Linked DNA regions of Oreochromis niloticus. The protein of the gene in region 2 purifies or fractionates together with the protein of the main gene of each other region. This does not show direct contact. Links are inferred from orthologs where the notes say so. Each region holds a gene or a part of one and is shown on either strand. Other genes may lie near its edges.

Evidence for each region.
Region 1: the proteins of emc1 (region 2) and tmed2 purify together in Homo sapiens (affinity purification with mass spectrometry; 3 studies listed by BioGRID and IntAct, with this or other methods). This does not show direct contact. The link is inferred for Oreochromis niloticus from reciprocal best matches to the Homo sapiens genes EMC1 and TMED2.

The regions. Positions count from the first base shown.
Region 1 is NC_031972.2:11,314,608-11,321,546, reverse strand, and holds tmed2 (transmembrane emp24 domain-containing protein 2), read right to left. Parts: upstream 2,482-6,939; 5' UTR 2,285-2,481; coding exon 2,105-2,284; intron 1,590-2,104; coding exon 1,397-1,589; intron 899-1,396; coding exon 791-898; intron 702-790; coding exon 577-701; 3' UTR 561-576; downstream 1-560. Other genes in the region: ptpn11a (tyrosine-protein phosphatase non-receptor type 11), read left to right, coding at 5,736-5,749. UniProt on the Homo sapiens protein: Involved in vesicular protein trafficking. Mainly functions in the early secretory pathway but also in post-Golgi membranes.
Region 2 is NC_031984.2:24,272,183-24,279,342, forward strand, and holds the start of emc1 (ER membrane protein complex subunit 1), read right to left. Parts: upstream 3,055-7,160; 5' UTR 2,965-3,054; coding exon 2,873-2,964; intron 2,418-2,872; coding exon 2,290-2,417; intron 2,203-2,289; coding exon 2,137-2,202; intron 2,054-2,136; coding exon 1,960-2,053; intron 1,875-1,959; coding exon 1,746-1,874; intron 1,564-1,745; coding exon 1,437-1,563; intron 1,272-1,436; coding exon 1,113-1,271; intron 924-1,112; coding exon 756-923; intron 480-755; coding exon 408-479; intron 157-407; coding exon 58-156; intron 1-57. Other genes in the region: E3 ubiquitin-protein ligase UBR4, read left to right, coding at 4,019-4,143, 6,557-6,654, 6,786-6,889, 7,042-7,160. UniProt on the Homo sapiens protein: Part of the endoplasmic reticulum membrane protein complex (EMC) that enables the energy-independent insertion into endoplasmic reticulum membranes of newly synthesized membrane proteins.

The DNA.
Region 1 (6,939 bases), on a different chromosome or scaffold from region 2:
CATCGGGAGTGCAATTTGTGTTTTTTGAGAATTAACACATTGGCAGTATCTGCCAGTCTGACTTGGCTTTGACACCTGAAATCAAACTTTTCCTATCTCAGACACTAAACTACTGCACTGATGTTTTCAGATGTGCCATTTTTATCATTTCAAAAAGGTTCCCATTTCAAACTTAATATAGGCAACATTCCACTCTGACTCCACACATACCTGTCCATTCATGTGCAATTTTAAGTCTTTCATTTGACTGCAGACACTGAGCCTTACAGTCATTTGCACAGGAAACAACTGTACTAACTGTAATTAAACAGATCTGTTAAAAAGAAAAACTAATAAACTGAAATTTATCCCACAATCTTTTGGCCATTCGTTCCAAACATAAATTACATTTATAAAGAAGAAACCAAACAGGTAACAAGAGAACAAAACCTCTGAGATCCAATCACATGTAGGCTTTACTCAAAACTGCCACTCTCATTTCCACAGTGTAAATAACTGTCTTGGTGTTGGAGGGGAAAAACAAAACAAAACAAAAAAGTACAGTGGAGGACACAGAGGAGTATCATTTGAATAGCACTACACCACTCGCCGCACTTCGAAAAATCGCTTCAGGTAGTAAATCTGTCCGAGTGTCATTGCCACCAGAACCAGAGCTTCAAAGAATGACCACAGGACCACTCTGCTGTTTGTGTTGTCATTAACTGGATGGAGAAGAAGAGGAGAACAATTATAAAGATTTATCTACACTTATGATTACAATGGTTATTGGACTTAATGTAAAGGCTCTTACTTGCTCTGTGTATCCTCTCACGGACCTCCATGTACTCCTGCTCGTGCTTCACGGCTGTCATGGCAACTGCCAGCTCGTTGATCATCTCCTCCAGCTTGTTTTGGTGGGCTGAAACAAGAGAAAAGTGACTTGTCAGTGATGAGTCACAACACAGTGGTAAAGAACCCTGCTACCCCCATTTGAAAAAGAACCCCCCCCAAACAAACAACAAAAAAAAACATGCAAGATGTGCATATCCTTTTCACACCTGTGATGCATGTATCTGCATTTATACTTCATACATGTTCTCAACATGTGCAACAAGTCAAATCATTCGCAAACATCACCGCGTCTGACATATGTATGCTTAATTAGTTTTTACTACAGACGCAACTCTGGTTAGAGAAGACTGCAGTGCATCACAAGCTCAAAAATTTATTTCACAACAGTAGTTTAGTCAAAGCCTGCTGTGCCCTACCATCCCAGCTGTCACCACCTACGAAGAGGGAAACAGTGAATCCACATAATAAAGTCAAAAAATGAGAAATGAATAAAAGGAATAATAATTTTACAAGCAACAGGAATAAAAAGAGTTGCGGTTAAACTACATAAATCCCCACTGTGTACCTTCCGTCTCCATATCTTGGCCTTTGGGAGCCTCTCCGATATCAATGGTGAACATGACAATCTTGGGTGTCATGGTTGACATCTTGTTGCTGAAGCAGAACTTGTAGGTTCCATCCATGTGCGCTGCCACAGAGTATTTCCCACTGGACTCTCTGTCCCCTTTGTAAATTTGCTTACCGTCAGGTCCTGTTATCTGGAGATAGAAGAATATCTAAATAACTGACATTGCTGCTTGAGTGGAGAATAACATGACGGGCATGATGTGCTTTAGGAAACATATGGCAGAAACTAAGTCAGACTGTCTGCAGAAATAGCTAGATTTTCTGCTTAAAACTAGCGAAAATAAACGAATTCTACAACGTCTACAGCGCATTGACTATTCAATAATCAATAATTAGCTACATAATTAGCAACTTAGAAACAATGCTAATGCTGCACTTCCTATATCATAATGGGTAATTTAATCATCATTATGGAGCAGCTCTTAGCGGGAAACTAAAAAAAGCAACTCTGTAAGATGTAAACGTTTTCCATTCAACTGTATGTTAAATCCTTTACACCTGCTTTGCATCCAACTAGTTTTACCTGACGGTACCGGCTAATAGCTAACATTAGCACAGGCCTTGTGTTGCATTGCATTTTATGATTTACAAGTACATTCTGCCTCGCGTTAGGTGACTCTTTTGCTATCCGAATGAAACATCTCACCTCGACGTCGATGTCCAGGAAGCCTCCTTCGGCCACTTCAAACATGAGGCCCATCTTGGTACCGGAGTTGACCCGCTCGTAGAAGCACTCCTCGGCATGGGCGTCTATGCTAACGAAGTAGCCAGAAGCAGTGGCAGACAGGACGGCCAGCAAGACAACTAGCTCCGACAAGGTAAACATGTTTCCGTGGTTGTATGGAGAGCGTAAACGTAAAGCTGACGGTATAAAAATTTTCTATGCTAATGTATATCCAGTTTGTGTGAGTGGACTGTTGCAGGAGACGAGCCGCAACAAGCTCGGCTACTCTGTGCTGCTCTCAGACTGCCACGTACGGGCTTACTGCACGGGTACCTGCGAGGGCCAAACCTCCGAGAATACATGACACACACTGAAAAGGAAGTGAAAGACAACTCTTCGTTTTCTCATTTGTTATTGGAAGAAGTCCCTTAAGTCCATGTAAGTTATATCTGCTTGCCAAAGTCAACCCCGTAAAGGGTCTTTATGTGCAACACGAATAATTAAAGAGTCGTGTTCTTTAGTTTACTATAATTTGTGTTTTTACTCTGAATGTAAATACTTTTTTCTGATTTATAAAAAAAATCAAATCAAACGAACATAAGTGAAAATGCACTAATTTAATGAGTTAAATACATATATTTATACAAATATATAATAAGAATATAATAAGAAAATATCCAAAACAACAGCACTAAGTCATCTAAGTAATAGTACACGATTATGAAAACATTTCATATCAGTTGATAGCATTTTGCAGTAACGACAATAATAATGATAATAATAATTTATTAATGTTGCATAGCAGTTCAAAACTCTACTTGAAGATAATACTACTTGAAGACACAGTGCATCACTGTAAGACTTTTTTGTAGTGTGGCATGAATGACAGACTTGAATACTTTTTTGTTAGATTTGTAACTTTGTAATATTTTGTATTATTTAATTCAGTTTAGTAAGTTACTGTTCTTACTGTCTTGGAGCAACAGTGACCAAATAATTTCCCCTCAGCTTAATAAAGTATTTTGATTCTTCTCCATTCCTCAGGTTTCCTGTCACTTTACAACATTGTATTAAACAGTTTGAACCAAAAGACTGTTTAACACAACCTGGAACACGGCTCTCCTAGACATCTCCATGCCTTCACAGGTATGTCATCTGGATAAACTCGGTTTGCACTCTTCATCCTCTTCATAGCTGCCCTCACTTCCTCCTTATTAATCCTCCACTCATTGTGATTCACTAACTTTTCTCCATCTGTTTTCCTGTCTCCTTCATTTTCTGGAATTATCAGCAGCTCAAAGTGCTCCTTCCGTCATCTTAACACACTCTCTTCTATTGTTAGTACATTTTCATCTCTATGCTTAACCACTCTAACCTGCAGCATATACTTTCCATTTCAATTTCTCTGTCTAGCCAATCAGCAAAAGTCCTTTTCTCCTTCCTTAGTTTCTTACTTACAACACACTACAATCCTTCTCATTTGCCACCTCTCTCGTTGTTGTATTCCTAGCCGTCCCGTACTCCTATCTATTTTCTTCATCTCCTAAATATGTCACTCCTTCTTTACTAACCTGTTTCATTTCATTTCCTATAGTTTCATGTACTTCATCATTTCACCACCAGGTCTGCTTTACCCGGTTGTGTCCAGAGGATCCACCAAACACCAGTGTCAGCACTAAAGCTGTACTTTCCCAGTCATCGGGTAACTCTTTCTTTCCACCCAGAGTATGCCTCAACTTCTTCCTGAACTCTGTGCAACATTCTTCTTTCTTCAACTTCTTTCACTTACTCCTTGCCTCTGCCTTCACTTGCTTCCTCTTCTTAATGTACAAAGGCATCCTACAGACAACCATCTGATGCTGCTTAATGACATTCTCCTCTGACACCACCTTCCAGTTTCCTATATCTTTCAGATTGCACATTTTGCATAAGATGTGGTCCCTCTGTGTGCACCTTCCTCATCTCTTATATGTCACCCTGTGTTCTTCCCTCTTCTTAAAGTACATGTTTAGTACAGACATTTCCATCCTTTTTGCAGAATGTACTATTATCTGTCCCTCTGCATTTCTCTAACACCTTACCTACTTAATACCTCTGTTCCCTTTGTCTACATGTCCATAGAATTTTGCACCAATCACAATAATGTCCCCCCTGGGGACATTATTGCTTCATCTGACTTACTCAACTTACTCCAGAATTTGTCTTTCTCTTCTAATTGACATCCAGCCTGTGTGGCATGCGCACTGACAACATTCAACATCGACCATTCGATTTCCAGCTTCGGACTCATGTTCCTGCCTGACACTTTTCACCTCCACAACACTGTTCACATACTCTTCCTTACCCCTACTCCACTCCTGTTTCTATCTACACCATGGTAGAGCAGCTTGAATCCCCCTCCAATACTCCTGGCCTTGCTTCCCTTCCATCTGGTCTCCTGCATAAACAATATATCTACCACAGTATATTTATACTGCCAACTTTAACCCCCAGACTTCTGTCTTTCCTACTCTCTCATTGCCTCCTAACACACCCTCCTCCTCTTCTTTTCCTTTGTCTTTGGCCAATATTAGCAGTTTACACCAGCACCCTGTTTGCCAGGTTGAAATCTCATCCATCATGACTTGAATGTTGGCCAAGGTTTTAATAGGTTTCTCCAAATATTTATATTTGTTGGATCAAATATAAATAAAATGATTTAAAAGGAAGATGCATGTTCACCAGTCTTATGGATGTACTATTTTGGGGAAAAGAGTACAATGCTTCAGTGATAAAGTTACTTACATCACCACTTGACTTTCTCCTAAGGTAGTCTCTGTTTTATGTGAAATATTTTATATGTTTTTGCTTACAAAGCAAATGACAAATATTGGATAGCTCAAAGATTGCATGTAAAATGTTCAAACAGAAAAAATTTGTTAATGTATACTAATTTTATCTGTATTTATTTTTACGCGTTTCTAATAACCCGAGTCGCCACAACAAAACATTACGAAAGTTTCATAATATCATTTTAAAAATGGTTGCGCATCTAATTACGTCACAAATAACATATGAAATGTAATTTATCTCCCGTTAGGGCTTAGAGCTGCGATTAAGTTTCGCTTTGCCGTGAGCACAGACAGTCAACGAACTGTTCGAGAAGCCTTCGCAGACGTTCTTCGTCGTTTGCCGCTTTCGCCGCTGTATCGTAAAAAAACCTTTTAACGAGCATGCGCTGAGTGAAAGTGATCTGGCTCTTTAATTTATCTGACGCCGTTTACCGGACGGACCGAGATCTGTAGCTTTTATTTAAGCGGGTTAAAGCGACCACGAGAAACGGCCGCCGAGGGTGAAAAAATCCATTACACCCTCTGTTTTGTCGCAGGTTTGGTGACGTCCAATAATCGACTTGCTGTGAAGTCTCCGGGGCCGAGGCCTAGAGACATTTTTTTGTAACGGGCGCTATCAAAAAAATTTGTGTCGATGCTTAACTAGATTTAGGTGCCCGTTTTGACCGGATGTGAACCAATGAAGCACTTTATACTGTAACTGAAGCTTTAACGGTGGGAAACGTTAGCCAGCTAATTAAAGCTACTGCTAACTGCCAGCGAGGAAGTGAGGAACGAAAAAAATGACATCTCGGAGGTAAGCGGGGGCTGTCTGGAAAACAATGTCTGCTGATAATGCTAGCTGAGTCTGCTAACTTTAAGTGAACTCAGCTGTTTGGATCTTGGTATGTCGGTAGACGGTCAATGAGAGTTCCGACGTTTCTGGAAATAAACAGAAATAGGTGGTGTAGGGCTGCTTCATTTAGCGTTACACCGGCAACTTAAAGCAGTCTTAAATTGTTAAGTAAACAGCGCTGTAACATTGGTACAGAACATACAAAGCTAAGCTGTCCACAAACTGTAGTTACTAATAGGTACAGTTAAAGTTAACTAACCCTGCTACAGCTGCTGTTAACAGATGCATCTTACTGGATTGATTTGTTATGCTTTGAGCTGCTGTCCAAGTCAAACCAGCTGTATTTACAAATAACTGAACATAAGACACCCCATATTGATACAAAAATTAACGAGTCATTTTAACGAGAAAACGGGAAAACAGCAGGAGTGCATCAGAAAAACGGAAATGAAGTGCTTTCACGTTATAGATATGTGCAGAGTAGGCAGAAGTCATAGCAGTTTCAACATTTTAAGTAAATTAAATTCCTTAGATTATAAATGTAACGCGTTAAAAAGTCATCGTTAGCGAGTGGAATAAAGATATTTCACATAGATGGTGCACAGACCACAGACTTCTTGTACAGACGAGAGGGAAAAGATGAAGATCATATTCACAGGGAGGCAGAGGCAGGAGATGACCACAATGGACGCATGAGTGAAACAGGCAGGCAGTCTTTTCGGGGGAGTGCCGGGTGGCAACTTGTAGAAAGAGCGCAGTCAGCCTCCGAATGTCTTTACTGGAATATACAGAGTTGGATAGAGAGGAAGTGAAGAAAGACAAAGACAGTGTGGCTCTTTTATACCTTTGGCTCCAAATCAGTCTCGATGTCAGCAAGCACCCTGTGCAATAATACCAGAAACATTGTAAGAGAGAGACAAGACTCTCAAAGGAATCGTTTATTAAAATCTAGGCAAGACATTTTTAACAGCAAGGATGGTGATAGGAATAACTTCCCCAGTGGCCTTTTGAAATCCTCATTATTGTGTAAGTCATTGACACATTTAAGCTGTTTTAATCAGATTCAGCTTTCATGTCCAGGTGACCATTCAAATTAAACTTGAGTATTACTTCAAAATGCCCAGATAAGTGACTGGAGATGTAACTACAAA
Region 2 (7,160 bases):
ACTCTGCCTGCTCTGCTCAAAGTTGCCACAGTACCTCAGGAAAGAAAACTGACTCACTTTCTCTGGTTTCCCACCATTAGGATCCATAACGAAAATCAGTGTTGTGTCTAGAAGTCTCCGTCCAGTTTCAGCACTAAAGAGGTTAATACTGCAAGCCTGTGGGAAAGAAACAAATAATCATCTCCCAATTAAGAACATTATTTAACAAAAAAAACACTTAAAAATGGTTTCCTGAAAAACATGACAAAAAAATCTTACAGTAACAAGTCTAACCTTTTCATTAAGTAAATCAATAGGTGTATTACATGTCTGCTTTTTAAAATCAAATGCATTTGAGACTAAGAAAACAGCTAAAACACATCAAAACCCACAAATAAATCTAAAGGTGAAATATTAATTTAACTCACAGTTTTATTCTTTGGGGACATAACAGCAGCGATGGTCTTCTCTCCAGTGGTTGCAAAGGAAACCAGCAAGGCCTACAAGAAAGGATATAGCTCTGTATAATACAACAAAAGACATGATCTTTCTGTAGAAAAATAATACATTCAAAAAAATGTTACGGGTTTAAAAAAAAGTATTGTATTTGGCTGTTTTTAACAGTTATTTTGTTTGATATTTGCCTGGGGAAATAAAATATTTTGGCAAGGATGCCAAGCCACATTTACATTTTGGCAGATATTTACTGATGTTGGCTGTTATAGCAAAACAACTGCAATACCAGGACAGGCTAATATAGAGAAAAGATTACGTACTGGCTTGAAATCCCTGAGTGTAACTATCTGACCATTGTTGAGCTGGAGAAGCAGGAAGTTATCAGGGCCGAGCTGAAGGAAGAACTCAGATAGAGGCTGATGGGCTGAGTTGGGCTGGTGTGACACTAGGACCGGTTGAAAGTCTGGAGCTACTTCAAGTCCCAGTGACTGTGAGAAGACAAATAGGAGAAGACTGTAAAAAAAAAAAACCCGGTGTGTTCATAAGGGAACATATAAGATCACAGAAGTGGAGAGCTGAGAAAGAGAGAGAGGCAGAATTTAAAACTTAACCATCTAAAGCAGAGGACATACATGGTAATTTAGAAAGGTTTAGAAAGGTTTTTATTAGAGTCATACCTGCAGAGGGATCTGGGTCATCTGTAAATCATGCGTATCTAGGTGTAAGTCGCACATGTACAGCGATGGAGTTGCAGAGTCTACACAAATCAGCACCCCCTGACCAATTACTGCACAGCTGGCCACTATGTTGGACAGCCACGGAGCTTCAACAGAGATCTGAAAACATCACAGGCAAGAAACTCACTAAAATCATTCTATATACTGACCACTGATTCAGTGTTTGAGTTAGTTGGTACTTCCACAAATTATCCATTTTATATATGTTATATTTACAGAGCATAGATGTATTTTTTTGATACTATCATTAATAAACAGGATTACCTGCTTGATTATCTCTCCATCATCAGTGCTGTAAGCAATAATAACAACGTGGGAATGGGGAACAATTCCCAAAGCATAAACTTCACCATTTCCTCCAGAATAAACAGTCTGGTAATCCACAGTCTCACTGTGGAGAGAAACAGAAGGTGACAAAAGTTTCATAATAAAATTACTGTTTTTACAACACTGTCTGGTATTTTCTAAAAAAAAACAGAAAAAAGAAATGAAAAAATGAGTTTCTGTGTAGAATTATGTTCATTGAAACAGAGATTACCAGTACACAAAGTTAACATTAATATAAAAACATACCTTTCTGGTAGATTTTCTATCCATTTTTGATGGCCATTAGAAAGGTAATGGAGAGAGATAATGTTTTTTTTCAAAACAGCCACGTTTTTCACTGTGCCTTGCTGCCCCACTAGACATGCTTTCTGGAAACTTGAACATATAAAAGAAGCAAGTTAAGATTTAATCAAATAAATGAATAAACAAAGACCATTCTTAACCTTAAGGAAATAATCACCTTCCAGAGTCAAGCACAATTTCCCAGTTCAAACCACCAACATTGACATCCCAGGATCGCAGGAGGCGACCATTACCAACCACTAGGATTGCATCTAGGACACAAAGACAGTTTTATCAACTGCAAAATTACTGCAATGTAAATACATTATTAGATTAATTACAAAAAATAAATCACCTTGTCCATGGTGCAAAAGAGCATCAATGTTTCCTTCGGGTCCAGACTTATCTACATGTCGCCAGACTGTAACAGACATTGATATCAAAATGACAATAAAAGACTATACCTAATATATGAGAACTTTGTCTTTCAGACTAACAACATACTCACAGAGTTCCCCAGTCCTTGTATTGAGTGCGGCAAAAACATTATTCTCTGTTGCTACAAGAACCTTTTTGGATGACTGCACATGTGTGTCAAAATGAGAAAAACGAACCTTGCCTACATACTGCTGCCTCCTGTGAAACATGAAGAGAAAGCACAAGCAGTCAGACTGTCATCCAGCTCACCCATAATCAAAGTGACACCATTAAAACACCATTGTTTTAATGACCAAATGGATCCAATCCCGGTGCAAAGACATATTTCTCAAACTGAAAAGGCGAAACTACATGACACTGGTTTGTTGGTTACAACGTTTTCCTATTGCCTTTAAATCACTTTCTATCGCGTTTCACTTGCTGAATTTAGTGGGACCAATGATTCACTTACTCTATAAAGCATGGACATATGTACACCTCCTGAAATTAACTACCAAATTTACATTTGTTTGTCTTCATTCTGGTGTGTTTTGACCTGTTCTCATTCAAAGTCCACCGATTAGCAGCTAGCTGCTGTGACAGGTGCTAACATTAGCATTTCCACATTAAAACATAATCGGCACACATTTGATCATTCACTTGACACCTCTTACCAATCAAATTTTCCTACTTGGTCCTCAAACACAGCACCGACAGCATTGTATAATATGACACATTTAAGCCAAAGCAAAATTAGCTTTGCCATTGCTGCAGCAGCTCTGACTTGCTCTTCAACGGGAGGAGGAAGTCGGAAGCCGAACGACTTCCTTTTCGTTCTGCGAAGGAGAAGTGCTGCCCCCTAAAGGTTGTAAAGACACACAGCGTCGGTTCTGGTGGTGACCTTTCAGATTAACAAATACTCAACCAGTTTCCCAGACATGGATTGAATCAAATCCTAAACTGAAAGAAAAAAAAAAATGAAAACAGATCACCATTGAAAAAAACTGTGAGTTTAATTCATGTGTGGGAAAATGTGTGATGGGATCATCTGACAGAAACACAAATGATAACATTTTAAATTAATGGTAACACAGGGGATAAATAACAGGATTCAAGTGGAAGACATAGGCTGCACCCCCACGCGTTAAAAAAGCGAAAATAAAAACGAAGAAATAAAGAAAAACGAAGACGATTTGTGTATTTAATATTCCATTATCTATTATTCTAGGCCCTGTGTGTTGCATTCAGTAATTAGACAACAAAAGTATTTATTTTCTTTAATTTATTATATGAATTAATATTTACTTTATACATTTATTTTATTTTTTACTTACTTGATGATACTGGATAAAGTCCTGTTGCTATTGTGGACTTTTTTGGAATCAAAAGGTGTCGTATTACTATATCTATCTATCGTCATACAAGAATATTAACATATGTGGATGAAAGTCACATAAAGTCAAAAAGTCGTGATTCCTGGTTTGTTAATGAAGTTAATATTAAATGAATAATAAGATAAGTTAAAATAGGTAAAAAAAAAAATAAAAGATAATAATAACCAATATGGAAGTTTTACAACTTGTATATGTAATTACATCACAAAAGAATGATGGAAAAAAACATACATCGCTTTATTCCTTCGTGTAAATTGGGAACCATATTACTATACATAATTTTAAAATGGGTTTATAAACAGTAAACCAGTAAAAATTTCGAGTAAAATGTTGTCAGGGCTGGTATCAGAGTGAGAGCGCCCCCATGATTTACTTACACCGCAGTTTCTTCTTCCAGTAGCTAGTTTTTTCTGTTAGGATTTCAAGATGGCGTCGAGCGGAGGAGATGGGGAACACGAATGGACAGCGGCAGTTCGGCCGCTTTTATCAGCTTCGTACACTGCTTTTGAGACGAAGGAGCTACCTCAGCTTATTGGGTCTATAATCAACAGGTAACCGGTTAATTGTCAATAAATTCCAGGTTCTTATTTGCTTGAATACTGCTTGTGTCCACCTAGGCGTAGGCTAGCTGGCTAAATTGCTAACCTAGCTTGGTTAGTATAGTTTGATGGGAAACGATACCCATTTTGCTAACGTTAGCGGCTAGCAAGCTATTTAAGCTTAACTTGCACTGGCATGGAGTCAGCTCAAGACGTTAGCTGATGTGCTAATGACAGCTAACTTACTCAAAATGCTATATAGCGTTTCTTTCCTGGTGACTACAGAGTTTGAAACGAAGCACGTCTTATGACTGATGGACATTTATCTTTAACGTAATGTCGGCGCCGTGCAAACGTTAAACGGCGTTGCAGTGTAAGCTTTAACAAAATTGCTTCATCATTAGCTAGCTAACACAAACATTAGCCGGCAGGCTAACTCGGGGGGCCTTCCAACTGGACTGGCTCTCAAACGCCCCAGCCAGAGTTATATTTGACTACGTCAGGTGACTTCATTGGGCTAAATTCAACAATACTTTCGTCTTGGAGTTGCATTATAAGGCGTAATCTGGGCATGTCATTAGCCAGTTCACGCATTATAAGGGTGGCAAAAATAGTCTGCTTAACGTCATCTGCTTGTGGTTAGGCTGAAAGTAGGCGGGGGACCTCACCTCTCCACTCATTTTTGATCAGGTGATGTTGAGTTGCAGTTAACGTATTATTCGTAAAATGGTTACTTAAGGTTATTGCTTCTAAGACTTGTATTTTAGGAAATGCTGCATGGTTCTGCTTAACCACAAAGATGCTGGGGCAGAATGAACTTGTTATCTCGTTACAACATGCCCACCTATTTATGTTCTCATAAAAGTAGATATTTATTGTATTAGTGCTTTGCAAGTATTGTTGAGTGATTTATTTGATTCCGTAGTTGTGCCTTGATTCTCTGTTTGTGGCGTAACATAAGCTAGTACATAGAAATAAAAGCTTCCTAGTATGTCTCTTGGTTTCGTTTTCCAGTGCAACAGGCTGTGCGAACACAACTGTTATGAGGATCGAAAGTAGTGTTGTGTAGTTGAATTATCCTATTGTGCAGTTTGACTATAATAAAAAAAGACTCCATTATCTATGTAAGTATTGATTAAAATGTTTCTTTCTTTTAGTTGTGTAATTGTAACAAGCCTGTTTATTAGAGGCCCCAAGTGTTAAGGAAAAGTACTTAAAATATTCCGACCACACCAAAAGCCAGTTCCAATACCATCAGTATAAACACACCTTGTTTCCTTACACCTCGTATCCTAAAGAAATATTACATTCTGTGAAGACGACATTGAAGAAGTAGGCTTGAATTGCCAATTACCACCGAGTTTAGCCACACTGAGTTTGGTCAAGGTGGGTGATAGGTTTTTGTGTGTTCTCTCTCATGGCTTTGCAAGTACCACAAGCAGTACCACACTGTAGCACATATAACAGAATGGCAATGTTATTGCAGCTTGTTTGTTAGCAGTAGCATTCATTTTATTATTTTATGTTCTTTTTGTGAAGGTCATGACTGTTTCTTTTTTTTAATTGATGATGATATTGAGTATTTGTTGCATATATATTGCAACTGATTGTGGTTTGATGTATTAAATTGATCTTTAAAAAAAAAAAATTAACTGAGACAAACTAATGCTCCTGGGAGATATACCAGAAATGTTAATCAGTTAAGTCACTGAGGTGGTGTATACTGAAGAAGAGTAATTATTTTGATGCTAACCTTTAACCAGACTATAAACCATTAAGCATTCTATTCTTTCATTTTCCAGGATCCTGTTGTGTTGACAAAATGTGTAAGAAATATCAGACAGTTGCATGAAAACAAACATGAGTTTGCAGCGTGCAGATGGATGGATGATAATGAATGATAATTATAAAAAGTCTGTTTTAATAAGTTTTTAATTAATTTTTAAGACTGAATTCTTGCACAAACACATTGGATAAATTGTAGGGTAAGCTAAGTTTGCATAATTGCAGTGCCTCAGTGATCAATTTCACAATTCACAATGTAATGTCACCATAGCAACAGATGGAGCTGATTCTGTCTATATTTTAAAAGTAAGGCTGCAGTCAGCAGGTGTTTTCTTTATTGTTACTTGGACATTCAGTATGGCAGTTGATTTGATGTACATCATGAGTGGTTACCATCTGTTTAATGTGACACAGCAGAACATGAGATTGTCCTGTGAACACTTTAAATCCCATCTTTGCACCTCTTACTCATATTTGCGTGGAGGAATTAAGACACTGGTTGAAGAAGGGAGGAGCAGTTAAACAGATCAAATCCACTCTATGTCACTGTCCTGTCTGTATTCTCTACCCCCTCCCCCAAACAAACAAAAACAACCCACTATAAATGTTGTGTAAAAAGTCATATTTCCTTTGTTTGCAGTGAATCAGACATTCTTCACCACGACAAGCAGTATGAACCTTTCTACTCATCATTCGTGGCACTCTCAGCACATTACATCACCACAGTATGTGGACAAAGTATGTGTATTTCATTTTCTCCTTAGAGTAATAGACAAATTCCTGCCACTCACTGACAATGAGCCAAGATCTTTCAGTGAAAACGGTTTTGTTGCTCGATGTTATTTTTGTTCTTTTCTCTGTTTCCCTAGTACCAAGAAATCAATTGCTGTCAGTTGCTGCAGCGTGCAAAGTATTGATTGAATTCTCATTGCTGCGCTTGGAGAACCCTGATGAGGCATGTGCAGTTTCACAGGTAAGTGAGACAGTCAGCAGGGTGGGTGTAGTCATTTCTAGTTATCACTGATTTGCATTTCATGGTGGTTTTCGGCTTTGTATTGACTTATGCATTGAAATAAATAAAAAATTAATTGAAATGAAATTGTGCTGCTATTTGTTGTTCTTTAGAAACACCTGATCCTTTTAATAAAGGGACTCTGCACTGGCTGCAGCAGACTAGATCGCACAGAAATCATTACTTTCACTGCTATGATGAAGTCTGCCAAGTTGCCTCAAACTGTCAAGAC